Oreochromis niloticus: one gene and its partners. The protein of the gene in region 4 purifies or fractionates together with the protein of the main gene of each other region. This does not show direct contact. Links are inferred from orthologs where the notes say so. Each region holds a gene or a part of one and is shown on either strand. Other genes may lie near its edges.

What was found.
Region 1: the proteins of skp1 (region 4) and fbxo45 purify together in Homo sapiens (affinity purification with western blotting; 7 studies listed by BioGRID and IntAct, with this or other methods). This does not show direct contact. The link is inferred for Oreochromis niloticus from reciprocal best matches to the Homo sapiens genes SKP1 and FBXO45.
Region 2: the proteins of skp1 (region 4) and fbxl6 purify together in Homo sapiens (affinity purification with mass spectrometry; 6 studies listed by BioGRID and IntAct, with this or other methods). This does not show direct contact. The link is inferred for Oreochromis niloticus from reciprocal best matches to the Homo sapiens genes SKP1 and FBXL6.
Region 3: the proteins of skp1 (region 4) and fbxo33 purify together in Homo sapiens (affinity purification with mass spectrometry; 5 studies listed by BioGRID and IntAct, with this or other methods). This does not show direct contact. The link is inferred for Oreochromis niloticus from reciprocal best matches to the Homo sapiens genes SKP1 and FBXO33.

Annotation. Positions count from the first base shown.
Region 1 is NC_031974.2:26,336,732-26,344,649, forward strand, and holds the start of fbxo45 (F-box/SPRY domain-containing protein 1), read right to left. Parts: upstream 3,007-7,918; 5' UTR 2,406-3,006; coding exon 2,079-2,405; intron 1,432-2,078; coding exon 1,075-1,431; intron 974-1,074; coding exon 788-973; 3' UTR 1-787. Other genes in the region: fam168b (myelin-associated neurite-outgrowth inhibitor), read left to right, coding at 5,332-5,401, 5,506-5,589, 5,897-6,039, 6,125-6,320, 6,404-6,516. UniProt on the Homo sapiens protein: Component of E3 ubiquitin ligase complex consisting of FBXO45, MYCBP2 and SKP1. Functions in substrate recognition but also plays an important role in assembly of the complex.
Region 2 is NC_031985.2:12,377,742-12,385,024, reverse strand, and holds the start of fbxl6 (F-box/LRR-repeat protein 6), read left to right. Parts: upstream 1-4,261; 5' UTR 4,262-4,364; intron 4,365-4,442; 5' UTR 4,443-4,581; intron 4,582-6,970; 5' UTR 6,971-7,052; coding exon 7,053-7,283. Other genes in the region: uncharacterized protein LOC100711840, read right to left, coding at 1-514, 670-736, 3,774-3,827.
Region 3 is NC_031983.2:25,187,386-25,194,395, reverse strand, and holds the start of fbxo33 (F-box only protein 33), read left to right. Parts: upstream 1-3,998; 5' UTR 3,999-4,141; coding exon 4,142-4,575; intron 4,576-7,010. UniProt on the Homo sapiens protein: Substrate recognition component of a SCF (SKP1-CUL1-F-box protein) E3 ubiquitin-protein ligase complex which mediates the ubiquitination and subsequent proteasomal degradation of target proteins. Probably recognizes and binds to phosphorylated target proteins.
Region 4 is NC_031975.2:22,837,675-22,844,953, forward strand, and holds the start of skp1 (S-phase kinase-associated protein 1), read right to left. Parts: upstream 3,004-7,279; 5' UTR 2,848-3,003; intron 2,206-2,847; 5' UTR 2,203-2,205; coding exon 2,106-2,202; intron 1,960-2,105; coding exon 1,886-1,959; intron 495-1,885; coding exon 351-494; intron 1-350. UniProt on the Homo sapiens protein: Essential component of the SCF (SKP1-CUL1-F-box protein) ubiquitin ligase complex, which mediates the ubiquitination of proteins involved in cell cycle progression, signal transduction and transcription.

The DNA of each region.
Region 1 (7,918 bases), on a different chromosome or scaffold from region 4:
AGTATCTATAGTACCATAGATAAAACCAGGAAATAAATAAATTGTAATACTACAGTAGCACATTAAAAAGACACATTTCATGTTACAGGTTTAGTTTCCACCGTTACTGAGTAAGTACTTGAAAGGGGGAGATGTTTCAGTGCATACGCAGCACAACAGTGCGCATGCATGGACTGCCACACACGTGCCATGGACGTGGCCCATGTGTCCTTGAGGTTTACCTATGCCAGAATGTTACAATACATCTCACAGGTTTCATTTCATTGTAATGAAGTCATTCCACAATGTGTTTGTCCATTAACTCACAAGATAACGACTGTTTCACATGTTAAAAATGTTGCGTTAAAGTATTCGCCACTTGGTTTAGAGTAGCTCAGGCCTCCTTCAAGCAGACAAAATCTCAAGTAAATCTTCAGCGCGAGTCCGAAACAAGTGACATTAAATTACGTTTCCCCTGTGAGGTGAATAAAAGAGTTCAGCAGCTAAACTGTAAAAGTGGACTTCTCCACGTAGATACACAAACAGTCCCTGCACATTCCTTTCCCCCTGTTGTTTGTCCAGTTTGAAAAAACAAAAAAAACAAAAAAACCTTCTGTTTTCTCGGTGAGTCGAAGTAGATTGCAGACAGTTCTCTGTGTGCTTATGGAAATAAGGTTACTGTGTTTGGAAGAAATGTGACCACTTACCCTCCAAAACCTTAAAACGTTACAATAGGGGGGGAATCAGCAGTCTGTCTGCACTTGACAGGAGCTTGTATGATTTCACGGTGGCACAGGCTGATCTGCATCTAGCCGTCCAGAGGTTTTCCCAGGTACACCATGGTGACTTCAGTGTTGCCGTATACTGCAGACACAGCAGGGAACAGGCAGGTTTTGGGCAGTCCACGGAAAGCCACTCCGAGAAACTCAAAACCTCTCTCAAAGGCTAACGTCTTGTCATCCATGTCTAGAATCACTCGTATTCTCTCCCCGATCTGTGGACAGGCACAGTCACATCAGGACTTATAATCATGTTTTCACTTGTACTCTTTACACAATTTCCTTTTAAAATGTCATTTCAAATCTCGACTCCTACCTGATATTTAGGTGCATTGTTACACTGGGGGAAATTACCGTTGACCTCTCCGTTGTGAAGCAGGTTATTGTCAACCAGGTTCCAGCCCCAGCTCTGGTCATCGCTGCCCAAGAGGGCTACGTAGCCCTGGCACTGCATCTGCGCCCGCTTCGTAGCGATACCTATCACTGCCACGGTGCCCAGGGGGCCCTCCCACCAGATTTCCCAGGCATGTCGCCCCTCCGAAAAGCCGATTTTGCCCCGTGCGCCGTCTGTGCTCTGGGCAATAGGGTTGCGGTGCAGAGTGAAGCCGTTCTTCTTCACATAAACGTTGCGGGAGCAGTCGTGGGAGCTCAAAGCATGCTGAAAGGCCTTGAGCTGCACAGGAAGACAGTTACAGTTAACAAAATCACAGACACTTGCTGGGAAATCTAAATATTAGTAAGGGGAAAAAAAGTTCTGTGAAGCATATATACAGAAGAAGAACATGCTTCTCTACTTTCTATCTTGCAGGACGCTCACTGCACCATTCAGAGGTGTAGAGCTCAAATGTTTTTCATAAGAATGCAGATAGTGTTTAGTGTTTCTAAAAACACTTTGGAACAAATGAATGAGCGTCCTTAGACTGACATTGGACACAGACAAGTTGTTCTCATTCAAACCTTACTTTCATGCCATCAACACTCCTATAAACAGTCTCCATACACAGACTGCTTAAAACAGGTTTTGTTCTATTATGCAACAATAGGCTGGAGAGTCAACTCAATATGGACTCCAGTGATAAGCCCAATGGCAACAAAACATCTACTCTACACCTGCTCAGTGTGATCACCAACTGAAAGACAATACTACAACAAGCAGGATTCAGTTTTATGCCCATTTATGTCTTATATTTCACTGAATACGTTAAAAAGCACTGGATTACGCTGACATTCAGTAATGTTTATGGCTACACTGTCACTTTGTGTAAAGGCATCACCAAACAGGTAACCCCAGGACAGAGGGACGTGTACTGGTAAACCTACTTTGCCCTTGTAGGTGGGCAGGTTACAAAGGATGTCAGACCGCAGAGCCTCGTCGCTCAGAGTCCGGCTGCAGAGGCTGCGCCACACCTCGCTGTTTTCATCCGCCAGGATATTGTTCCAGTGCCAGCAGACCAGCGAACACCGCATCAGGTCAGTCAGCTCCAGGTAGGAGAAAACATGCTCCAAGACCCTCGCTGGTAGCCTCCCCGCCACCCCTGCGCCTCCTCCGGCTGCAGCCGCATATGGAGAGCCGGTGGAGCTGCAACTGGCTGCCGCTGCTGCGCCCAAGCAGGAGGAGCCTCCTCCCCCACCCGCCGCTCCAGACATTATGCCCCTGCTCTTCACCGACGACGCCAGCTGAGCGAGTAGTTTCACCGTACACCGCAGGACGGTTCCTAATATGAGCTCGGCAGCAACATTTTTTCAACCTGTAAAAACCCACACGTAGGTCGCGCTAAAACCACAACAGTATACGGACCCGACTCTTCCCACTTCAATGGCTGAATGGAAACGATGCGTCAAGGTCCTCAAAGGGCACGAAGCACTAATTGTCCTGTTGTCACAGAAACGCAAAAATTATTTCGGAAGAAACAGTGGTCAGTTTAAGACGTGAGCAAAGTCTCCCGAGTCCGGAGACGACGAGCTGTTTGATGAGGCGACGCTCGAGCTCGAGTCAAATAAATTTTACCGCCTGCAAGGACCGCAGAGCCGACATAATGAGTTCAAGGAGGGTTGCTACACAGTACTGTTGCAGTGTTGCGATACTGGACGTTCCACCGCTGCAACGTCAAAAGTGTTGTGATTGTGTCGCAAAAAAATACGAACCGTATTAAAAGACGATGCAGTTGTTTACCAATAAAAGGCGTTATCTGACCTGTTACGTCATGTTGGTTGGATTTGATAATTATTTTCAGATCGTGTTTGACGGAAAACTAATAATAATAATTTAAAAAGAACTACTGGTGTTTTAATTGTTTAACATGAGATTTACACGTTGTTGAAGAAAACAAAACCGGCGTCTTACATAAAGTATAGTATATTATATATATATATTTTTTAATTTGTATACCACGTGACACCACGGAAGTGACGCGGGGTGCTCAAAAGAGTTAAGCAAAGCATCTGGGAGCAAAACAGCAGTTAGCTTTATTTCATTTTAACCCACAAGACCGGAGGAGGTGACTAACTGACGGTCAGAGCAGCTAACAGTAAGTTGTTGTGGGTTTTTGTTATCGGGACAGAAAGATGTGCGTGTTATCTGGTAACGGGACAGGCTGCACCGCAGGACACAGCTGTCTGGCTGCCTGCCTCCTGTGCTATGCGGCCTGCTTGACGAGCTGTCCCCCATCTGTCTGCTGTCCGGGGACACTCCGGCGGCTTTGCGCGGTCAGACAGGTGATTAGCGGATCAGCGTGTAAAGCAGCGCTCACCTACGGCGACAAACAGGCTAGGCTAACTGCAGGTGGTGGAGATCGTGAAGCTTGTGAGCTAAGCTAGCTGGTGGTAACAAAGCCCCGCTGCGTTCACCTTTCCAAATTCTTCTACTTCAGGTTGCCATCTTAATTTTTGCAGGCGACGTATCGAACGTCATGTTTTGAGAGGGCACATGTAACTGCCGAGCCGTCTGTGCTTGGACGGTGAAATCAGCCCTTAAGACTTACCGATGAGCAGCACGTATTTAGATTTTAGTCTAAGAAAACCTCCAGGAAAAAAAAACAAAACAACAAAAAAATCCAAACAGAAACGCATAGCTTCACACCTCTCTCGCCCCTGTCGTCCACTGTGTTTGGGTGAAAGAGTATATTTAAAGTAACACAAATAAAGCCGAATTGCTAAATTATGTTGTTCCTCTCTCTCTCTTTGAAAATGAGAAGTTTTGATTAATTTCAGTTTCCTATAAAGAGTCAGCCTATCAAATAAACTGGAGTTAAATGTGGATTCACTTGTAGCGTGACTGTGCTTATTAGCAACCCGTGTAAGTGTAATTGTGAATTTATATTTACCAGAGTCCATTCATGAGCACGTTGTAACGAGGTGGAAGGGTTTTATGTGTTTTTGTTTTTCATGCTCACGTTTTTTAGCTACCGCTAGGTGGAAGCACAGATGCATTAAACTCAACCCAGCCACCGTCATGGGAAGCAAAAGTCAAGGTTTCTTCGGGAAATTCGCTAAGAAAGCTGTAAAATGTAATAACAATAATGATGCATTTTGTTTCAGACGCCTTTCAAAACACTCAAGGTCACCTTACACACGGTTTAAAGAGATGTTCTGATGCGAGAGAGAGTTAGGGATATGGATATTTGCTGGGAGGGAATTCTAGAGGCCAAGAGCACAGCCAACTCATGATCTAGACCCCATGGTAGGAGGAAGAGGAGGAGATAGCATCATGTTAATGTGGAGTAACATCTCTGAGGAATGTTTATAGCACCTTGTTAAATTTAAGGTTTGCCCCGAACAACAGAATGGCATCAAAAATGCAAAATCAAAGGTCTAGCTGAGTGTATTAATTTTCCAAAAATGTCTTTCACAAACTGCTCACGAACATTGTGTAGAGACTATTTGCGCTCGTCTCTCTTTCTGCTTTAGACAGTGCTGAGAGCATTGGGAACCATGTTGACACCATTTTTAAAAATAGTGCAAGCACCTTCTCTGTGTTATGTTTAATATCAAACAGAATATATAGTAATGCCAATACAACTGTAATAGGTGCATGTCAGCACACAGTATCAGAAAATGCTTATTAGTCTGGTCTTCGCTTTGTTGTTACCGTGACCTTGCAAGGTCATCTCATGCAGACCGCTGTCAGTCTTCACTGAGGGAGAACGGTTATTATTTGTGGTCCCTTTTAGCTGTGTCGTTAGGTAACAGTGGTAGTTTGGCACATGTGATGAAATATAAATGTAATGAAATGTGACGAAGCTACAGTAACAGCAGTCTAATAAATGGACAGTATGTCAAAGTCTAAGCTCCAAAGAACACACACCAAACCAGTTTACATGCTTAAGATTTCTGAAAGCCAAACTGAAGGTTTTGTTTAAACCTTCTGAGGAATCTTTTCACAATCACTGTGCTGTTTCTGGAACAACAGGGTCACAATCGACAACAACAGAAAACTTCATATTAGCATGTCCATCCTTTCCACAAGAGCTCTGCTGGCTCACAGATCAGCAGTTGATTTCCACGCATGATGTTTGCATCGTTCCAACCTGTTTGTGCTTCTCTTATTTACAGCATCTGCAATTAGACAGCCACAATGAACCCAGTATACAGCCCTGCACCAACAGGGGTCCCCTTTACCAACACTAAGGGTATAGGTTATCCAGGTAACCTGAAGCATAGTGGTTTAAGAAACAAGCATAATTACAAGAAAATATCTCCCAGCATTGAGAATACTGTTATATTCTTGTTTTGTTTCTGGTTTTGGCAGCTGGATTTCCTCTAGGATACGCAGCAGCTGCTCCAGTGTACACTCCCAACGTCTACGCAGGAGCAAACCCAGGCTTCCCTAATGGTGAGAAGAAAGTAACGCTGAAATCTGCTGGAGTTTATCTGATAGGTCTTGAAACACATCTTCCTGATGCACTTCAAAAGAGTCAAACGGTTACAGCGGACTTCTTTTATTTGAATTAATTATAAATATAACGTAATAAAGAATAAAAGTTCCAAAGAGACTCTTAATAGCCCCAAAAAGTGTGTGTGCTTCTTTTCTATGAGGGTCCTGTTTTACTGAGCTGCACAGCCAGTGTTTCTACGCAGACTTCAGCTATTTTGTCCCAAAGCAAACGGCACTAATGTGAGCCGTCTTCCTCCCTCTCCAGGCTATGCTCCAAGCGCTCCTTTCAAAGTGTCCTGCTCTCCCAGCACAGGGACCGTCCCACCATACTCCTCCTCCCCAAACCCCTACCCAACTGCTGTGTACCCTGTCAGGAGCACCTACCCCCAACAGAACCCTTATGCACAGGTCAGTCCTCGCTTTTAATAACACGCCGTCTCTCTTCATCCTGGTTCAATGCTTGAGCTGTAACGTGTGGTTGTTTGTCCACCAGGCACTAATACCTTCACAACAACAAGGCCCTTACTACACACAGGCTCTGTATGCTCCACCGCCTCATGTCATCCATCACACGACAGTGGTCCAGCCCAATGGGATGCCTGCAGCAATGTATGCTCCGCCTATCCCTCCTCGCAACAATGGTGTTGCCATGGGCATGGTAGCCGGCACCACTATGGCCATGTCAGCTGGTGAGCTGCAGCGGTTTATTGATTCTTATCCAGGATACAAATGTGTTCGATTTGTAGTTATACCTGTGGCTTTCACTTCTCAGGAACTTTGTTGACAACTCCATCGCCAGCGCCCGTCGCTCCCCACCCAGTCACGATGCCCACATATCGGCCTCCTGGCACACCCAGCTACAGCTACGTGCCCCCGCAGTGGTGAAGAGAGAGAAGCGTGAGTATGTTTTAAAAGGATCACAAGTTTGGTCAAAGGTGCAGATTAAAGGTTTATGTTTACACCCGGTGTTCTCTCTGCAGGTCCGGAAGATGGTAGATATGCATTCACACTCCAGTGTTTTTCTCTCGTGGTGACGACCTGCCCCGCCCTGGCAGCGTCCGCTACCAATTCTTCTTCTTCCAGCATAATGTGAATCTAAAACCCAACTACATAGAGTCCCATTTGGATAAGCAGGGGGTGACAAATAGGCCCATCCCCACAACCCCTATTAATGGAATAAGGCTGCATTCCATACCCCCACGCCCCCACCCCCTCAGCGCCAGCACCTCTACAAACCTGCTGCATATCTCACGTCAAACTGCAAAGCCTCCATGCAAACTCTATGTGGACTCTCATGCAGGTTTTTATAGCTTAAATTCTTATGTAGTGAAAAGGGAGTTTGGAATAGTTTTTTTTTTCCTTTAATTTGGGGGATTAAATATGATGTTGAATGCATGTGTATATATAGATTTACAAAGTAATGCTAGCTCAATTCTCCCTGCTGTGACAGATGCAAATTCAATAAAAGGCACAAATCCAAAGGAACTTAGAAAAAAAGAGTAATAATCTGCAATGCTGAATCACCAGTGACTATGTCTTAAATGTGAAAGAAAAAAAAGACAAGAAACGTTTATTCATGCAAAAACATACCTGCGCCGTCCATCGCGGGCCAAACTGTACTATTTTTCACCGCTTTGTGTTTAGGTAAGTGGTTTTTATCGTTTTCTTTCAGTGATGCAGTGTTTGCATAATGTCTTACCATTTTTGTATTGTAGGAACAAAAGATGGGACTTTGAGTTTGTGCCTCTGTGACTGGTGGCCAATCCAACACTTTTACTTTTTCTGGCCTGTTAAACTTACTTTTTTTTTCATTTAAACAAATGGTGTTTCAGTTTCTTTCTCCCCCCCCCCCCAAAAGTCTGAAGCTGCTCCTGCTTGGGTGATATATGATGTATTCACTTATTTTAGCCAGAAGTGTTCTTGGTGGGGAACAAGTATAGGAAGTTATTAGAAGTCAATTGCACCCATTTAATAAGAGTGGATGAGCAGGAAGTGTGTGTGTGTGTCTGTGTGCGCGTGTGTGTGTGAAAACGGGACTCGAACGGAAACCATTCTGAATGGTGCCATACAGTGCAACATGCTTAGAATTTTAGACTTACATGTCACTCTAATGAATTTACTCTTAGGCAGATTTGAAGCACTACATCATTAAATCACCGCTAAATGTGGACATGTTAGGGCACCGTAATGATATTAAACTCCATTTGTGAATAGCACTACTGAATGAAGGCACTAATTCCAAACGGTTTGTAAAAGATATTTGACCTTTTCCGACATCGCTCGCTGT
Region 2 (7,283 bases), on a different chromosome or scaffold from region 4:
ACTTGATATGCCTTTTGAACATTGCCATTCTTACAGTACTGTGAGTTGAAGTTTCTAAGCCAGCTTACTAGAACAATTGGGGAAATTTTCTCCCTGCTCACAAAGTTGCTCAGTTCAAGAATCAAGCCGTTTGTGACTTCGATCGATTTTGCCCGATCTGAAAAATCCCTCATTTCCAAAAGATCTTGCCGCTCGACTCCAATGCTATCACATATTGGTCCAACAAAATTAAAATTGACATCTGATTCCAGGAAGACCAGCCTTGCATCATATCCAAGACTCAGTGTTGTGGCAATGCCTCTTTCAATCAAACGGCGAAAATCTGCTGACTGATGTGCGGGGAAGATCCTCTTGAGCCAATCCACAATGGCGATCCACGGAAAATTATTGTCCTCTCTCAGAAGTCCTACTTGGATCATAAGTCTGTTCTTGCAGGGGCCCTTTTCAAGCTCTAATTCTTCTCCTGATTGAGGACCAATGAAGTCTGCAACGAGCTTCCAGTAGTACTCATCTCCTGAAAAATAGAAATCAAAGTAATTACAAACGTAATCCTTTACGAAGAGGTAAGCCTTTTTAAATGAACTGGTATTAGGCACAGTCACTATGTGAAGGTTTATCAGCAAAAGTGACAAGTAAGTAGCTGTTTACTTGCAATGCATTCAGACTTACTTAGATTGGCTTCAGTCACAGCTGCTTTCCCACAAAGAGAAAAATCTTGACCCTCCTCCATTGTGTGCTGTTTTAAAAGAGACAGAGATGAAATTCTTCAGTCCTCAGCCTACAGAAGACAAAAACTGGATGGATAATGTGTGACAAATCAGCATGATTAAGATCTGACAGACCAAACAAAACAACAGTGGGCGGGAACTTTTCAGTGCTTTTACAATGACAAATTTGTCCTAAATTTGTATGAAGATGAACGGGTGAAACTAAACAGTTAAAGCTGTAGCTATTATTTCAAAATGTTATGATCTTAATAATAATTTTTGCTGTTTTTCTTGCACATTTTTTATCTTCCCCTACTAAAACTCATAAAGAGTAATAGTACTAATACATCACAGTGAGAAAAAGTGCATCATGGCACAAACAACAAGTAACAACCATTTCCTTATCGCGTCATGTCATTTTATTTTATTATTTTATTTTCATAAAATGTTTTGGATCCTGACCACTTCTAATTTCTCTGAAAAAAATCACATTAGGGTTAAAAATTTCAGGTCCCTACTGTCATTAGTTTTCATCTTTTCAGAGGGAATTTGAAATTTCACTATCTGGAAAACTACTTGAGCACGGTCCATTAAACAATTAGGGTACTATGGCTCAACACCACTACCTTCATCCATTAAAATACTTTTTTCAGAAAACAATTTTTTCAGAAGGGACCTGAAATTTGACATAACTCTCATAAAGATGAAAATATTTGGCCTGAGTTTTTTCAGACAAATGTGAGACTTTGCTTTAAACATCTGCAAAGAAACAACACTGACACTCTGTATTCCCTAAAAAAGAAAACAAGTTGTTTATATTTTATTCTCATTATAATAAAATTTCATGTTACTAAATTGAATCTTTTCAGTTAATCAATCAGACTAATTACTAACAATCTGACTTTCAAACAAAACACATTAAATTTTTTGTTTTTACAAAATTACATTTTCACACAGAGAAACAGTTTACTTTTCACTTGTAAGAGTTGCATATATCAGCAACTACATTTCTAATATGTCTGTATTTTGTCAAGCATATGCACAGTTCATGTGTTCATCTGTGATTCAATCCCCCACCCTCCCATCTCTTTGTATGTTGTCTCAGCCAGACTTTCCTGTAATTTTTAAAGTGGTTTTCAACACTACCAGGCTTTCTGAAGCTCTCTCAAAGTGTTTCTTTGGACACTGGGAGCGTTTTCATCCATTTCTGTACCACTTTCAGAGTATTTTTGTTTGTGGAGTTTTTAAGCCATTTAGCTTAATTATTGAATTATTTGAGTATAAAAACAAACCTAAGTCAAGTGATGACAGCATTGTGTTTATACACATCAGACTACTTATTAGCAGCCTGTCACAAAACACATTATGTGTTGTCATTTAGTTTTAGTTTGTTTGAGCTTATGAAAAATGCCAATGATAGGACAGTCTGATAGATATATAATAGTATTTTTGAATGAACAAGGTGATTCCCAAAGACCTGTTGTCCAAACATATATGCTGAGATATAGTAAATGTCAGCATGGTGTGCGGTGTGTCTTTAATAAATCTGAGGAAGCTGGATCTTGTCAAAATGATAGAATGCACACAGATTTTTACCACAATGCAATACAATTTGGAAAGCATCTGATTTACTACAACTTCATTTTTCAGCATGACAATGATCCCAATGATCCCTGTCAATGTAGTAAAAGCACACCTGGATAGAAAAGCACACAACTGAACACTATCAATCACAGGCTGACCTCAACATCGCTGAAGCAGTGTGGGATGATATTGGCAGAGAACGGAACAAAGAGCAAGCAACTTCCAAAGAAAAGCTTTGAATGCCCTTCAAGAAGCTTGGAGAAGATTTCTTAAAGAAATGACAATAAAGCATGTCTAAAACAATCAAGGCTGCATTGAAGAATATAGATGGTCCTATCAAACATTGACTTTCAAACTTGTTAGAATTGTAGAAACTCAGTTTTTACCTTGTATATTACATTTCCACATATGTTTACATATGTTACAGTGATTTGTTGTATCCATTACCCATTTTTCTATATATAGCTGGTACTAGTAAAAAAATGTAATGTTACAAAAGTGTGTGACATATATTCTAACTAGTCAAACTTCCAAAAAGACATATTCATAGTTTAATTTTTAGTTCTCAAATAACATTTAATGATCTACAGTAAACACTGTTTTCAGGAGCAACTTAAGTGATCATCATAATTATTTTTAACTGATTAAAACTGAATTAAAGAGAACTACAACTAGTCTAAAGTAGGTAACAAACATGTAAATTATAAAACAAAAATATTAAATCTAAATGCCTGCAATGGTGTTTGAATAGAAGTCAGTTATAAGTTTTTGAATAGCTATTAAACTTATGCAAAGACAAACTTATTAATAACATGTTGACAAATTTTTTAAAAAAGATCTCTGGGTATCTAATTATAGATGTTACTTATCAAAGTGAATTTCTAAAAAGTTGGTCTGTAATTATAACTAGTCAAAAAATAGATGAATAAATAAAATTACGATATCTATGGCTGTGAAATACTACAGGGGTGCATGTCATAGCAGATCAAAAGTACAAAACAACAACTAAACATTCTGCAGAAATAATATATTTAAGTACACTTGTATGACAAAAATGTACATCACATACTAATTTATCTTGTGAGAGGGGCTAAGCTATGTAAAGAATCCTGATTGGATACTATGTGTGTTTTATTATCAGTAAACATGCATAATTAATTCCTAACATGTATAAATACATCGAAATATGTGACTATTCCTGTGATTTAATGGCATTATAAGCAGGTTTTTCAGAAAAAAAAGGATTGTAGCTACATCTCTAAGTGAATGCTAATGCTGGACTAAATCTACATGCTAATGCTAGCCTTCTGAGCAACATGCTACTATTAGCACCTACTTTACTAGCACAAAACTAAACATGCAAAAGTGCAATAATCCGTGATTAATACCTGAGCAGAAAAGATGTGCTGGGTTCTGTAGCGTTCCCAAATAATTTGAAGTGTATGCGCTGTAAATTTATGATTTAGTAGTACAAGTTCTTACCCAGAAACAAAAACACCAGGCGCCTGGGACACGCTCCCTCTCAGAATACACCATGAAGGGGTGGAGACCGTGCGCTGCAACGATTGGCTGGTTTTACAGAAGGCGGGCATTTGTCGAGGTCTCAACGAATCATTGCTGCGAAACGGCCGTGAAGCCCCACAGAAGAAGAAACTGGGAACGACAGATTTTCAACTTTAACTGTGTTGTTGGTTAACGTGTTATCCTATAGGATGTTAGTTTTTATCGAAAAGACTGCACTTTTATATATTTATTGTTAAATTGCGTGTTTCTATGCAAATGAATGATTTTCATTTTTTTCATTTTTTCATAATGAGTAGGTGGATTTTTTAAATGCTCTCAGTTTTGTGAGAAATGCAACTCTAAAAGTAAATAAATGATTTAAAGTTTTTAAAAATATATATATATTTATATTTAGTCTGCGTGGAATTGCAGCTGAATGTATTATAACGACGGTAATATTTTGTTACTTGAAGACATCTAATAAAGTTTTTTGTTAAAAAAAAAAAAACCAACAATGCGAAGTGCATTATGGGTCCACTTACTGCAGTTGTCTTCGTGATCTAGCGGCAGGTAATGTAAAACACCAATTTATAAATGTATTGTTTTAAAAAGCATTTCTGTTAATAACATTTGTTTAATTATCGACAGGCTCTGATAATGTTTACTGCCGCCGTCGCAACGATTTCCATGCCGTATTTTGTCATATTATGCTCCAGGGCGATTTGTGGGAAGTAGCTCAGTTAACTGGTGCCAGGTAGCGTTAGCTAACTCTCTAAACAATGGCCAGGTAGGTAAGAGCTTAGTAATAATAAAATGTTAATATATTGCGTTTGTAAAGTATTTGATCGTCATTTCTCGTACTTCACATAAAGTCGTTGGTAGAGCCGTCTTCTGTTTGCAAACAATGAACATGCGCGCGCAGCTTTGAAATGGAAAACGGCTTGTTAGCAAACGTGGACAACAAATTTTTGTTAATATGGCTCATATCTTTACATAAAGGGAATCAACAAAACTACAAATGCATTCAGTAAAATCCACAACAGCCTCTTTCAGGATGCAGTTGCTGTACTCCACATTGAAACCCCAAACAATAGAAAACAGGGACAAATTAAATAAATTACAGTTCTGCAGCGAAATATTGGATCCTTGGCTTCATGTGGCTGTAACAACTCGGCATTGTTATAGATGTGGTCATGCAGAAGTCTCCGTGGACTGTGATATTTGCAGAGGACAATGTGAGATGTAGTGAAGGTAGGGTAGGTAGGTAGAAGGTGTAAGTGAGTTTGGAGAGGTGGAGGTATGCTCTTAAGAGAAGAAAAATGAAAGTCAGTAGAAGCGAGACATATCCACGTTTGTGAATGAGATGGAGACTGGTGTGATAGAGAAGCTGCAAGGCATAGAGTTAGTGATAGTTTAAATACCTGGGGTCAATCATCCGAAGGACAGTGCACAAGAGAGATGAAGAAGATGGAGTGGGTGGAGACGGGGTAATTTGTGACAGAAGCACAGCAGCAAGACTTAAATGGAAGGTTTACAAGATGGTAGTGAGACCTGCTAGGATTTATGGTTTGAAGATATTGGAGCTGAAGGTGTTAGAGTTGAAGATTTTCTTTGGAAGGGACTAGGATGGATATCAGAGGGACAGTCATTTGGAGAACACGTTTGATAGGCAAAGCTAAAAATGGTTTGGGCATGTGCAGCGGAGGGATAGTGAATATATTTTACAAGGGATGCTGAATATGGAAATGCCAGACAGGAGGAAGACTGCAGAGGAGATCGATGGATGTAGTGAAGGAGGACATACAGAAGGGTGGGTGTGACGGACGATGGTAGGGAGAGGGTGAGATGGAGGCAGATGGAAGCAGGTAAAGAAGGTGACTAACAAAAATAGCAACTTTCTAGATGTTTGGTCATACCACAGTAGATTTTTGTATTTATATGTTATCCCAGCTCTAACTATCATATATTGGCTTTGAATATTTCAGCTGGTGTAGAATTAATTAAAAAATCAGAAAAAAAAGCCTCTTAATGTTCACTCTTCACAATACCACGTTTTGACTTACGGGCCTGTATAACAAACTTTCACTGGCCTCTACAATATTTTTAATGACCCAAAAAAGCCAATTTAATTGTTTTCAATACTGGAAGCTCTGTCTTTAATAATGTAGTATAAAATAATAGTAGACTTATATTTTATAAAGTTACATCTCCCAAATAAATGGTAGCTAAAGCTGTAAAATAATTGTCATGTATAACATTATCTACCCCTCTTTCCCTGCAGGAACCACACCTGTTAGCCTTCGGCTATAAAATCTGCCTTTTTTAATGATCATTTCAAACTGAATAAACAGACTGCATACAGACAGCTCTGCTTTATTTAGTCACGCTTTGCAAATACTACCTGCATGAAAAAATACTAATTTGTGGGTTCATTTTGGCCAGTGAATTGATACATGGAAACTGGCCCCAGTGGGCCACTAGTTATTTTGAACCCTGCAACTGTAATTTACTTACCCTTTGTAATCAAAATACATCAAATGTCTTGGTTTAAAAACAGATGTCTGTAGTCTGTCTAAATAAAGTTTGCAGATGGAGCAGTATGTCACAAAAATGTATCCTCTGCAGAGGAAAACGACACATTTTCACACCAAATCTCTTTCCCAATCTACTGACATTCCCAAGCTCTTCAAGAAAGACTTTTATCAACACACCTGTTCAACTCTGAGCATGCCAACTGTGTAGTTATTCTAACTTTTACTTTAGTGAGATTACCTATTGTGAATAGTTACAAATGTTCTATATAAGGAACAATTTTCCCTTTTAATTTCTGTGTATAAAAACTCCTCATTACTTATTTGCAGATAAAGACGTGGTGCAGGATGTTTTGCATCTGTACAACTGAGTGTGAATTTTGTGCCTAAATATTGGGAGTTATGAATAATCAATTCTTAAGTAATCTGTATATTTATGTGCAGTCTACAATATGCAAATAGGAATGTCAATTTAAAGTCATGTTGCTACATCCTCGTTTACTTTATCTAACCATAATTTAGACGTGACTTTTACAGTTTTGTTTTTATGACCACTTTGCTCACTTTGCTATGTGCATTTTATTTTATCCCCAGTGGAGATCAGATTACTCTCACAGACTTATCTTGATCTGCTTCTCATTCCAGACATTACCACCTATGAGGCTACCATGCTGATATTTAGTTTTCCTGGATTTAATCTCACTGTAAATTCAAGATAGCAGCAACTATGGATGCATCTGAAGCAGAAGCCTCAACACAGAATCAGGGAAAAGAGGAAGGTGCATCATCAGGTCAAGGAGATGCTGGAGCAAAACCAAAAAAGGCATCTTTGAAAAGAGCTGCAGATGCGAAAGCAAAAAAGAAGCACAAAAAGGCTCGAGTGTCCAGACCTGCCCGGCCTGGTTATACTGTCCATCAAGGGGAAGATATGCTTCTCGTTATATCGAGTTCCACCTCT
Region 3 (7,010 bases), on a different chromosome or scaffold from region 4:
TCCTATGGAGAAATGCGCTGAGTGTCCACGGTCAGGTCAAATTGCTCTCCCTCCTCCAGCAGCGGGTAGGAGCCTGCAGAGGTTTGGAAAGATGTGTCTCCTCCAAGATTTTTTATTGAAGTTTGTACATCAGCTCTAGGCTGCTGTGCAGATCCTGCAGGTTTCACTGCAGGAGATCCTGCTGGCAGGGCAAAGGTTTCACTTCTGCAGGCGGCATACAGACCAAGAGAAGTCCACGAATGGACTGAGGACAGCATGGAGTCCCTGAGCAAAAGTGTCTTCAATGTGTGTTTATTTCTGAGTCAGTGAACTTTCTAGTCATTACTGCAACTCTCCACTGTGTGGAGCTAATGCCACTAGATCATTATACTGTCTCAATTTCATGCTAAATTATGGACATTTAAATGAATATTAATGACACATATTGGAGGATTTCTTCACACTTTTAATTCTAGTCAAATCCCTCATGGATGGAAACTATTCAAAACCTTACTTTTGTTTTTAAGTGGTGTAAAAAATCTTTTGGATTTGTAATCAGCCCCTGAGCACTGATTGAGATGCTTCTTTTATTTTTATTTTTATTCTTATTGCTAATTACTCAAATTAATTGGCTTTTTGAAGGCCTTAAACATCCCAGAGGGGTTCAACAGAGGTGAACCTAAGTGAAAATGCTTTTCAAGTAAAGATTGCGCTCACCGCAGCTGACAAAATCACGTAAAGCTACCTTACTTTAACTCGCCAACATTATATTCACATACTGAAGAGTTATTCTTCAACTTTCTGGTGATTACTGGATTTTTTGACTTCTTCAGCCCTTGTAGTTCGCTAGTTTTAGATTCGTAGTCGCTGACCAATCACACTACACCCATATAATCTAATGAAATTCAACACAGTAGATTGGCCATGACACTCTACAAGGTTCCAGTGAGTGGCCATGATATCCTAAACTTCATTAGGTTAAATTTTTCCAAAATGTCACCCATACTTTGGATAAGCTTTGTGAAAGTGGAATTTTTGGGAGCGCTGTATGAGTATTGGATAGTACAGAGTGAAAGTGGAGTGCTTTAAGGTGGTTTCCTGTGTGCATTTTTCTTGTCTCTGGGGTTTTTACAAGATAATCTTTCAGTTGTTGTTATTTTCTCCTGAAATTTGTATGAATTTATGGGGATACATAAAGTAAATACCCCCTTAAAAATTATAGCCTTCCTACTTCTGATAAAATTACTGAAGATTACATTGATGCCAATTTCTATATGTACTGTAAGTTATTTGAGATGAAACAGAGAACTGTTAAAAAGAACAGATCGCCCTTCTGTTGTTTCACTGCTAAGACCTTTTCTTTTTTTTTTCTCTTCACACGTCATCTTCTCCAATAATCCCCTGTCAGGAAATCAGAGATTGTGACTAAAGACCAGAGGACAACAAAGTGGCAGTATTGTGATTTAAAGTCTTAAGGAGGATTCGGCTCAGTGGTGCTGTGCTGAGTCACCTGGCTGTTGTATATCCTGTTGATAAAAGAACCTGAATGACCATGCTGCTCACTGAACCCTCAAAAATTGCAATCACATCGGAGATTTTAAAGCCCAAAAACACCATGGCAACATCATGGTGCTGGGTTGTCATATAATAGAAGGAAGGACGGATGGAAAAATGTACCAAGACATTCTTGATCAAAATCTGCTTCCATCTACCAGGATGATGCAGATGAAAGCAGTGTGGACGTTTCAGCAAAACAATGATCCCAAACGCACAGCCAAGGAAAAACCAAATGGTTTCAGAGAAAGAAAATAAAGAGGCTATGGCCTAGCCAATCACCTGACCTGAATCCAATTGAAAATCTATGGAAAGAACTAAAGGTCAGAGTTCAAAGAAGGGGCCCCACAGAACCTTCAGGATTTGAAGTCTATTGGTGTGGAAGAATGGGCCAAAATCACACCTGTGAAATGTGTGTGACTAAGCATGTTCAATACTTTTCACTGTCATGTCTCATATGTTCAATACTTATTTTAGCTGCTGTTTGTATATTTATATCTATATTTGCCACACTTTGTTTCAGATCAAACAGTATTGTTGGGCTCTCTATGTCCAAAATTTTATCTCATTCTACCTGGCCCTGTGTGGAAAAAGTAACTGTAACTAAAGGGTTTTTTGATTATTTTAAGTTCATACCCGACATTCTCCTTCAGGGTTTTCTGGTAGGCAGCAGAAATCATGATTCCATCAACTACAGCAAGTCGTCCAGGGTCTAAAGCAGCAAAGCAGCTCCAGACCATCACGCTACCACCAACATGTTTGACTGTTGGTATTGTGGGTTTTTTATGAAATCTTTTGTTAGTTCCAGAAATAACAGTACTTAAACCTTTCAAAGCGTTCAACTGCAGTCCTGCAGTAATTTTGGTACTCCTGGGAAAAGCCACTCCTGGGAAGCTCTAAGCGCTCGTTGTAGTTCGCTGGAGACCCAAAGCCTTAAAAATGGCTTTGTAAGTCTTTCCTAACTAATAGATGTCATTTACTTTGTTTCTCATCTGTTCTTAAGTTTCTTTAGATCGTGGCATGATGAGTTGCTTTTTTGACCTTTTAGCCAACTTCATTTTGTCAGACAGGTTCTGTTTATGTGAGTTCATGATTCAACATGTCTGTCAATTAACCAGGCCTGGGTGTGGCGAGTGAAATTGAACTCAGCTTTCCAAAAAATATAGTCAACAAATTTCATGTCGACAGTTACAACATGCTAATGACTGCAGGTTTTATTCCTTAATCAATGAAAAAATACATTTAGTTGCTTTTTGTATTTACTCAGGTAAGTCTTATTTTCATATTTATTAGATGAACTGAAACATTAAATGTGACAATCATTCAAAAAACTAAGCAATTGGGAATAGGGCTAGTAGTTTTTCACAGCCCTGTAGTTGAAAATTACATTTCAGTGCAGCAGCCATGCGGCAAACTCTAATCTGGGGAGTTTGATCAAATTGTTAGGACTGTCACACTGGTGTCACTATGTTAAAGTTAAACAATCATTCCTTATGATTATGAAATTCCATCAAAGGTAAAATAGACAGGCACAAAGAAGTTCTAACTTATCAAATGACTGCAAATAACTACCTTACCCAATATCCGGGCATATCCGGAAACTGAACACAAAATAACCAAATTAAAGGAAGCAAAGGCAAAAGAAAATTAATAGGAAAAAAATCTGGGACTCCAATTGCTCTTAGGACTGAAAAGATTTCTCGGATGAGAGGTGAAACGTCTTCAAGGAAACTTAAAGAAGTCCAGACGCTTTTCTTTCCAAGCTCCTTAGACTATGATGACCTGGATGACCGAGAACCTTCACAGACAAATTGGAAAAAATGGTAAGTTATCCAGATAGTATGTCTAAACACATTTAATCTTTTTTTATTTAGAGTTTACGTACAATATAACAGCAGTATATTAACAATTATTAAAAAAAATTCGTCTTCTATAATGACATTAAAAAAATTAAACTTCCATTACCATTCAGTTTTTGCTTCCAGAATTTTCATATTGGATGCAATTCATTTGTTAAAAATATGCAAAATGTTACTTTTGTGAGACTGCGTAGTGTGTAAATTATTTTTATACTTGTTTTTGTCTTTGTAATGTTTTGTTTTGTTGTTTTTTGCATCAACTAGAGGGGGTGTGTCGTGCTGGAAACTTACTCCAAAATAAAGATCATGTGGAGGCTCGGGGTTTTTCCAGGCGCGAAATACTGCCCTCTCACGGAGTGCGACAGTATGGCAAAAATAGCAACCTTCGGTTGAAACCATTCAAGTGACAAGGTATCGATGCGGTCAAGTGTTACCCCAAATCTGATGAAAATACCACCAACTGATCAGCATGGTGGAATAAAATATTAGTGTTAGGAAGTAAAAAAAGGAATACCGCGATGGATGTTTTGATAAGGTTTGTGGGGATTGTTTCGGTCCCCGTGTAGTTCGGTGGAGTGGTACGTTCCAGTAGTATTGAAGGCAACGCTGAAAACGGTTTGTTTTCACCGAGAGGAAGAAGCGTCGCTTATATTCGCAGCTGCTACCTCGTCGCTTTAATAAACGGTTGTGGCATTTCGTTTACGTCTGGTTGGTTTTTCGACAGCAGCTTTTGCCGTTTTTAGCTCGCCATGGCTCTGTGCGGGGGTGTCGGAGCCATGGCTTTGCCCAGCGAGCTTATTGTCCACATATTCTCCTTTCTGTCCGACCGAGACAAGCTCCGGGCCTCGGCTGTGTGCTCTCGCTGGAGGGAGTGTCTGTTCTACCCCGCGCTGTGGACCGAGCTCAAACTGCGAATAGGTGGCGGTGGATGCTCCAGCTCCGACGAAACCCCAAAGCTTGAGTTCCTTATGCGAAAGTTTGGCTCTTTTGTGCGAGAGTTGCAGCTGGAGCTCGCACCGGTGGAAGGAAACCTTAGCCATCTGAACAGCGACCCGTCGTCCGCCAGGATGGACCAGCCTCCGGGTCCCGATAGCGACGCGCAGCACAAGGAGCGATGGAGGGACGCCGTGGCCACCTACTTGGACCAGGTGTTATGTGTGTTCACCAGCATCCGAAACAATAGGTAATACTAGAAAATAACCTCTGGAAATGTCTGCTTTGATATTTTTAATTGGAGTGAAAAATTCGCTTGACATGTTCGCCCTGTTTTATTTTGTTTTTTAAATTTCTCGGGTTTAGGTGCGTCGCAGTGGCTAGCAACTGGCTAGCTCAGTTAGCTATAAACAAACCCTGGCATTAGGAGTTACGTAATCATGCCAGGTCTTTGCAGTGGCAGCAAGCGTTATGTATATGGAGGCACTGTTGGTTTATTAAGGACAGCTTTGCATGCATAAATTAAATGGTGGTGCATGTGCGAGGCATCTGCATGCCTTTTGTCACCTGTCCTATTTTACACTTCTCATTATGGTCTCTCCATAGCAGCAGGTACAATGCAGCACTGGTGGAGGCTAGAAGGCTTTGTTGGCTGTGACTTGCTGATATCAGCACTGACATAAACACACACACACACAAATATACAGTGTGTGGATGTATTTAGCCTGTTGTCCGTTTGTAGGATGTGATCACTTATATTCTCTCACACACACACACACACAGGATAATTTCTCCTACTCTGTAAAAACTTGGCTCTGTTAACGCTTCAGATTTCATTGGTGCAGCTGTGTCACACCTTTTTCCACCTTCTCCCGCCTTCTTTACAGTGTTTTGTGATGCTGGCATTCAAAACTGGTTGCTTTATCTTAATCCTACTAAAGGGGTTGAAATATTTGACATTATTTTGTTTGTTTTAAAGTTGTTTAAGTTTAAGGACAACTTTAACCCTTTTCCTACTTCCCTGCTGGTATACAGCTCTACTAGCTAGATCCAGAAAGTTGCATTTGGTGCCAATGCTGTCTTTTAACTATAACGTTTCAGTTCAGTAACAGGCTGTTGTTTGTATAAGCTTCAGCAGCAGAGGAAGGATGTTCTCCCACTTCCTACACAACACTTTCACTGACTATCAGTGTGTATCAGGCAACATATAGACACCAATAATGATCTATCTGTAGTAAGCCACTTCCGGACACCTGTTTATTCAAACAGACTTTTAAAATGTGACAAATTTAGGTTCATCCAGATGTAGAATTGTGAAAGTGGGCTTTGTGGGCAGAACTGAAATGGATGAACTTCTTCCACTGATCTCATCATGGTGATGAAGCATTATGAGAATCTAAGAACCATGGTCTCTTTTGTGCATGGTAGTTTTGAAAAGATCAGGACTACAACCTCTAACTTCAGAGCTCGCTATCGGGTAATGAAAAGCCCGTTTTTTGTTTTTTTACCCTTTCATTTAGTGCGCTGAGCCAGCTCCACCAGCACTGACGTATGTTCCGAATAATGAGAACAGACAAGTTGTTGTTTCTTTCTAAGGGCACTAAGTAGCTGCACATGAGCCCATAAACCTGAACTCTCAGCTGATACACAGGAAGTGGGTACATCAAAGGTAATATGCGCTTCACCTCGCAGGTACGCCTGTGCCATGTTCGGCTGTATGAAACCCTTGTGGTTGAACTGGTGCATGTGCGACACTTATGCAGGGGATATGTTCCCATCAGTATTGAGTTGGCTAATTCGGACATTTAAAAATGTTGAGAAAATGGCCTACAACAAGAATTGTTATCAATAAATAATTGCACTTTGCTAAGTGTTAATTGTAGGGATGCACTAATTATGAAATTCTGGGTTAATGGAACCTGTTTGACTATTATTTGAAGACTGCACATCACCCAGATAACGTTCATATTTGTTTATAATGTAATGGCTGTTGGTGTATTGTGTCGTTGTACTGTTGGACTATTTAAAGGTCGTCATCATCATTCATAGAGATACTGACTTTAAGCACAATCATTATGAAAACAGTAAAAATAATTGTGTTAACTAATTTCTTAAGATATTCATATACATGTTATTGTCACTTGCAGTTATTTGATTTTAACTTATGTCTGACCAAATTAAAATTAAACTGAAGTGATAAAATGGCTTAAAATGTTAAAATGTAAATTTTCCAATATTTTTGTAACAAGAACAAATCTATTGCCTCTTAATCCTGTTGGTTCATTTAGCCAAAACAACACTGATGTGAAAGTAAATGTCATCCTATTTGCCGATAAACCTGCCCTTCCCTCTTATGTTTGTAACCGGTCCTATAAAGAAATTGGTCCTTTCTGCTTTTCGCTATGTTTATGTTGGTGATCTTCCAAACATTACTATCAAAAGAGGTGTAGATCGTCTGTTTGAAACAAGGTAATTGGCTGCATTGTGACCACTATGCTTACATTGACTGCATCAGTGTTTGAAAGAATCAACTTTGGCATATACACTGCTGCTTGATCTTTGCCAATCTATTTTGGGTGCCAGGATATAAAGGGCTTTCAACAGCACTGCAGGAAAGTGCAGGGCAGCCATAATTCTGTGCGGGATAGAAAGCAGCTTGGGAGAAGTGGGGACTAAATTACACTG
Region 4 (7,279 bases):
GAGGAGGATTAAGTGACAGACACATCAGTGGGATTATGTGACAGTCACTGCAAAGAAAGGAAGGGATACTTCACTGTAGCTAACTGCAGGGACACCACTGACAGGCCTGCAGTTTAACCGAGCATCTGTTAACCACTATTTTTGTTTTCTTTTGTTTTAAAAAAGTCCTTTTTCTATTAAAACTGCTTCAATACAAATATAGATAACTCAGTAAGATCCATATGTAATGATATGATAATCAACCATGTGCAGGTGTTGCTGTTAAGGTTAGGTATAGGGCAGGGTTTTGCTTACACCTGTTAGTTGTAATTCAATCCAAAGAAAATGCAAAATAATGCAAGTATGTTTACCAGAATGAGTTCAAACAAGGTGCCTTGGTCCACTTTGAGGAACTCCTGATCCCATACAGGGATGTCATCTGTCCTTTTCTCCTTGTTCTCATCGTCCTCAGGAGGAGGAGGGTCATCTTTGTGATGAGTGCACCACTGAATGACCTGAAAAAGAAAAAGAAAATAACAAATAAACACATGGTTTTAACCAAGGTAACCCGTTATGCACAGCACCCATCAGCTGTGTTAAAACTGCCCATAAAAGGTTTGAATACCAAAATTAAATGGCAATTATTTGCCACAAATTAGGATCAAGTCACACAGATTCCAGGTCGTTACCTCCTTGTAAGGAAGTGTAGAAATGAGTAGTAAGGAGAAAGAAAAAAAAAAAAAAAAATCAGGACTTGTCTGTTGCCAAAAATGTGATTAGATGATTTGCTGGCATGAAAATAAAAGCTAAAACAGGATGAGAAACAATCGCATTTTGTCCATTTTTCCAGGTCCACCTTCAAAACTTTGATGTTCAGATTTTGTTGAAACTCTGAACCACATCTGAGCACATTACCCTCAGAAAATACATCAGCAGCTCTTTCCAGCTATAACACTGTTACACTGTCCAGCTATAACACAAGTTTCCTAGATTATTACAATGTGCTTCTAAGATGCATTTTGATTGACTGGCATAGAAGATCATTTCAGCTTATTATTTCAGCTTTAGCCTGGCAGTGCTAAAATGTTAAAACTATAAGGGGAAGACAACCAAACCCAATTCAAATTCTTAGGCGAGCTTACCCATAGGACACAAAGTACCACTCTTTGCCACTTCTTACGATCTCTGCTTAGACCCTCTCACCATATACAGAAGTCTACATCATCGTCGAGGACACCATCACAGGCTTTGATTTATATTTGCCTCCCAACTACAACCACGAGCAAAGCCAAAAAATTCAAGGCACACAGATTCTATGGCCTCTTCTTCCAAATTCTTTTTTCGATTAGCAAATGATTATATGGCCAAACAATTTCTGCCAACCCGGACCACCTGAAGCCACGAGAGTTAGCTTTAATACTGCTGTCTTCGGACATTTATTCATTTTAAATCTGTGGACCAGTGTTTACTTACTTTACCAAAGAAAGTCATTCACTCCCCATCTCAAATTGTCATCTTCCTTCTTGTCAGGCTTTGTGTCAGGCCACACAACAGGCTGGGTTCCACCTTACACTTTTGTAAATATAATTTGCCTATGTATGGGAAATGAGTGTGTACCAAGTAGGTCTGCTGATAAAGTAAATAAGCAGCTCATTCCTCACTTGTTCATATTATAATAAACAAAGGTTGTAAGAAAACTCCAGGGCATTTGCCTCACAACATACACCATTTGGGAACCATGGATCTAAACCATAACCCTTCTCCAGACCAGGCGAGATGAACGCAATTAGTTAATAGCATCTCAGGAAACAAGGAATCAACCCCTCCCACATCCAACAAACACCACCCACACAGTCTGTGTGTGAACAAAAAACCCACTGGACACTGCAATATGTGCATTTTGTACCTTCTTGAGGATGGCAGCATTCACGTTAGGAAGGGGAACTGGATCATCATCTCCTTCATCATCCATTCCCAAGTCTGTCAAAGATTCAAACATTACACATTTGTCCAAATTATGGTTTAATTAAGTGAAGTATAAACAATATATTTGTGAACTGTGGGGTTTCCCATTTAGGTCAGTTGTGAATTGAAAACCTAAACGTTTAACGCGATTCAACACTTACCTTCAAGCATGGTCTTAATGGTGACAGACTGTTTGGCTATCTCAACGTCCACCTCGAAGATTTCCCCATCAGAACTCTGTAGTTTTATTGTGGGCATTATCTATAAAGGCAACACATTAAGATATTAAACGCCTCTGCAAGGAGACAACACTTCTGAAAACAAACTTACGACCCTTAGTAGTAAACACGCATTAGCAACTGCTATTCTACGTCTGGGAGTTAATTTGTCAGCTATCGCAAGAAAGACAGTTTATATGATTATTAGCCGAATACGGGAATAATATCCCACTACATAAATAAATAAAATTACCTGTGCGGACCTTAGTATTAGAAAAATTAACTCAAAACAAACGTTAAAGCTTACCTCAAGCTAACCAACGATTAGCTACCGACGACACGGGCTAAACAGCGGCAATGCTAGTCGAGCAGCAACCTTTTATTTGAATACAGTTTATATACAACTGAAGGTGATGCGTGTTATTACTTAAAACACATAAAAGCTGGCTTCTCTGTTTTTTGTTCAACCATAATATTTTAATGTTATCGGTTAATATTTAGGCTAACCAGGAAGCTAGCGTTACCATGCACAATGTTCTAGCTAAGCTAACACCTAGTGTCGACATTAGTTGAGGCCTCTTAGCCGCCACAGCGAGGCTATTCAAATAAAGACACAAGCAAAATTAAACAAAGAGCAGTTCATTCCAAGCTGCAAAACTCAACCTGGGCTAACTAAGCTACGTACCGTGACTGTTTTAACGATAATCCAGAGGTCAATTTCCTCTGTAGTCAGCAGCAGCAGCACCCGACAAACACGCAGACACAGACAACCGGTGGTAGTCTCTGGACCAACCTAAGAAGAAGCCTGAGCCTACCTTCCGGCGTCTTTTTCTCGTAGGGGAGGGGTTAAGTATGGGCTCAAATTATCCACCCTTCTTTGACTGATAATCTCAGGGTCATTCTGCCTTTGGTATTCTGAAATATCCGAAGTCTCTTAAATTATTCCAAGATATATGTATAATGTGATAGGCATGTTAGGTTTGCACACTTTTTTCCCGTATATTAGCATAGAACAGGATAGCCACCACACGTGTCATTGTACGTGTACAACGAAATCGTGGGTGCTCCACACCAACTGTGGCGGACAGCAAGAATAAAAAGCAAACAGGAGAAATATATACAGCCAAGAGGGAATGTATACAAAACAATATACAAAACTCACACATTAGAGAGATAGTGTTTGTTGACAGTCCGAATGACCCAGGGGAAGAAGCTGTTTGGGAGTCTGGAGGTGTGGCCTCCATTGATCTGAGGCAACGACCAGAGAGCAGCAGGTCAAACAGGTGGTGAGCGGGGTGCAAGGGGTCACCTGTCTTGGTTTTCCTTAGACAGGAGGAGCTAGTGATGGTCCCCAGGGGTGGCAGAGGGCAGCCAATTATATTTTGGGTGGTGTTAATTACCCTCTGGGCAGCCTTCATGTTCTCAGTTGTGGCCTCTGCCTACCCAGGCAGTAGGAGAGCACGCTCTCCACTGAGGAGCAGTAGAAAGCCAGCAGTAGCTTCTGTTCCAGGTTATCCTGGCTGACAGTAGCGGTTTTTGATACGGGCGACACGGGCGGTTGCCCGGGGCGGCATCGTGGTGGGGGGCGGCATCACGGGCATCGGCAAAAAAAATAAATACAAAATTGCTGTACTCATGCTGCCACCGACGTCATGCCAGCGCATTTTGTGAATGTCATAGGCACCGATCAGTTTTCCCTCGCCCATTTGCGGGGAGTAAGGGCGCCCTCCGTTTGCGAGGTGCGCCTGCTGCTTGCGGCACAGGGAGGAGAGGGCGGGGCGGCGGGGGAGTCTCTGGCTGGCTGGAGCAGCATCTAATAACCAACTTGCAAAATAAAACAAAATAAGAACAAACCAACAAACACGAAAACACCAGACATAATTTGCACCGATGTTTTTTCGAAATTCTATACGCGAAAAGTGAGCGCGAGAGCCCTCTGTGCGCCTGCTTGCTGCTGAAGTCAAAGTAAACTTTATTGTCATCTCCGCTACATACAGTCCAGTATATAGAGAGACGAGACGACGAGGCTCCAGTTACAGCAGTGCAAGTAAACAAACAATAAATATAAGAAGAGCAAGAAAATAAATATACACTTTAGGACTCGGGGTAAAGGGATCAATAACAATTTATAATTTACAGTTTTAAGATTTGAAGTCTCACACACAACCTGTCGAAAGGGGAGGGGGCCGGCTGCTTCCAAATAGCACACATGTCATTCATCATGTTGTAAATCCAAGCCCATTATGTATTCATGATTTGAATCCTGGGTTGTGCGAAATCCCAGAAATAAACCCTAGACAAAGTGACTCTGTGAACTAAGGTGTAGGTTTGTTAGGTTATCTTGTGGTGATCCTCGGGTTCGGGGATGGGTGTTTATACTGGAGTGCAAGATTAAAACCAATGGAAGATGGACAAGAAAAGTTCAAAGCCATGCTCAGTTTAGAAAAAAGAGAAAAGAAGAGGAGGAGAAACGAGCAAAAGATACAGGTAAGCAGATGTGTCATTGGATAATGGCAGGTCATCCTGAAACAATCAGAATCAGAATACTTTATAATCCCTAAGGAAATGATGTGGGTTACAGTTGCTCCAAGAAGAAATGGTAAAAATAGTAACAGTAACAGACTAAACTCCAAACAATACATTATGTTACAGATTTTACACATTTAAGAAATAGCACTAATATATACAGATCCCTCAATTATAAATATCAAGGATTAATAGAGGTGATTATAAATAAATATTAAGAAGATTGACAAGAATATTACAGAGTAATAAAGAGCGTGTATAAAAAGGGTGTAACTAAAGGAGGAAGTGCAGCCGCTGCTGGGCCTTCTTTTCCAGGATGTCAGTGTTGTGGCTGTAGGTGAGATCAGCAGAGATGTGGGTGCCCAGAAACCTGAAGATGAAGACAGATTCAACCCGTTCTCCATTTATAATGAGAGGGCAATGGACTTGTCTGTGCCTCTTGAAGTCCATTATGAGTTCTTTTGTTTTAAGGACTCTCAGCTTCAGATTGTTGTCTGACCACCAGCAAGACAACTGGTGGTCTCAAACTGAGTAAAGAAGGTGTTGAGTTCCTCTGCAAGTTTGAGGCTGCTGTTGAGGGTTGGAGGGCTCTGGCCATGTAGTTGGAGAGGGCTTGGATGCCTCTCCACGCTGGGTGGGGGTTAAAGTGTACATTGGCCCACTTTAATGCTGTCCTACCTTTGCAAGACTGTTTTTTTACTAAGACAATCTAGCAAAGTCTCAAACATTTGAGATGTTTAACATTGCTGTGTAATTAAAATCTTTTTCTTCTGGTTGTTCCCTTTAACAATCTGCTGAGCATCATCTCCATCATCACCCCAGTATCCTGTCCTGTCAGAAAAACCCTCTGTTTTTCTTCCTTGTCTGTGGTCTTGCTCTTCTGCTGCTGCCTGGGAGCTCCCTATTCATCATTCTTTGTCCTGTATATCAACTCTGTCTTCTCTGCACATGTCCAAACAATCTCGGCTTCGCCTCTCTAACTTTATCTCCAAACTGCTCAACCTAAACTGTCCCTGTGATGTACCAATTTCTAATTCTGTCCATCCTGCTCACTCCCAAATAAAAATTTGAACATCTTCAGCTCTGCCACCTCCAGCTAGGCCTCCTCTCTTTTTTAGGGTCACCGTTCCCAAATCATGTAACCACCTGCTCCCCCCTGTGTACTCTTTTCTTCACTGTCCGTTGCTGGATAAGCAGAAAAGAATGGCTTGATGGATGTATGGAGCTATATACTATTCTAATCAGTTCAGCTATATTGTTTATAGTTTGTTATAATAACTGGGTTAAACACAAAGGAATTTCTCAGCTTTTCAAGCTAAAACTATGCCTCATCATTTCTTTAATCATTTGAATGACTTTAAGGAATTGTTTATAAATCTGGGCAATACCATAAATTCTGTTATATATTCTAAATGCTATCTTAAATATGAATGCAAGATTCACTTGGGCTAGATTATATTAAATAAGCCTTGTTTCATACAGTAATTTCCAAAATTATACCCCTGCATGTGTTGTTTATCAAACAGCAGCGTTTATTGTAGTATTTGGAGCTACCATTGGATGGCGCTTTTCCCCTATTACGGATCCTCTCAAGCGGTTTCCATGGTGCGTTCAAGTGCTCATTGAAAGTCATCCTTGAATTGATGCCACTTAATTTCAAAATAGTAAGTCATCACAGCACTTTAGCTGCAGTAGGACACACACAAAAAATGCACAGTGGGTGTTATGACAGCTAAAAACTTTAATTTAAAAAAAAAAAAAGAGTCAGATACAATCAAAATTTTATAAATTGTAATGTATCAGTTCTATAAGCATCCTTGTTCATAAAAGATCACTTATCTTTGGGGTTATTAATGTTCTTTGAGATTTCACCTCATAATTTGTGGAGTGGTCAAGCTTGGTTTCCTCAAAATTCAATGCATGCAGCAAAATAATGAAGATTTTCTATCACTGAGATGTAGTGACTGCCGTTCACTGTACTGTGGTCGACTGGGGGAGCAGCAGCTTTAGAGAAGAGATACCAACTGAGTAAATTAACTGCCTGGCAAGGCTAGCTCTGTGATTAGCAGCAAACTGGACACTTTTGAAGCACTGGTGGAGAGCAAACCATCATGGAGGATCTTGACCACCTTCTCTAACAGACTGTTTCAGCTCTGCTGAGACAAGCACAGCCATAGGAAGTCTTAGCCACATGCTATCACCTTCTATAAAACAGTGATATCTGGCCGAGAGGCATCTGCCAGATTTTATTATTGGCTTTGCATCATCACTTAAATTGCTATAACAAAAATAATTCACCAAATATGGGATAAAGTTCTTGACATCATAAGTAAAATACTTCTAACTAGTATTCCTAAGACATAAAAGAGATTAAAAAAAAATAAAATAACCGGGTTCATACTTGAAATTCATCGCTGGGAAAAATGCTAAATTGTGGTAAATTTTGGCATCAATGTAAATTGAAATTTAATCCCAGGACAATGCAAGGACAGTGTAATTCAAACCATAACACTGTTTTATATGAGGACAAACAAACAAACAAAAAAACAACAGCATATTCACATCAAGAAGCCACCTTCGTCTTTATTAAT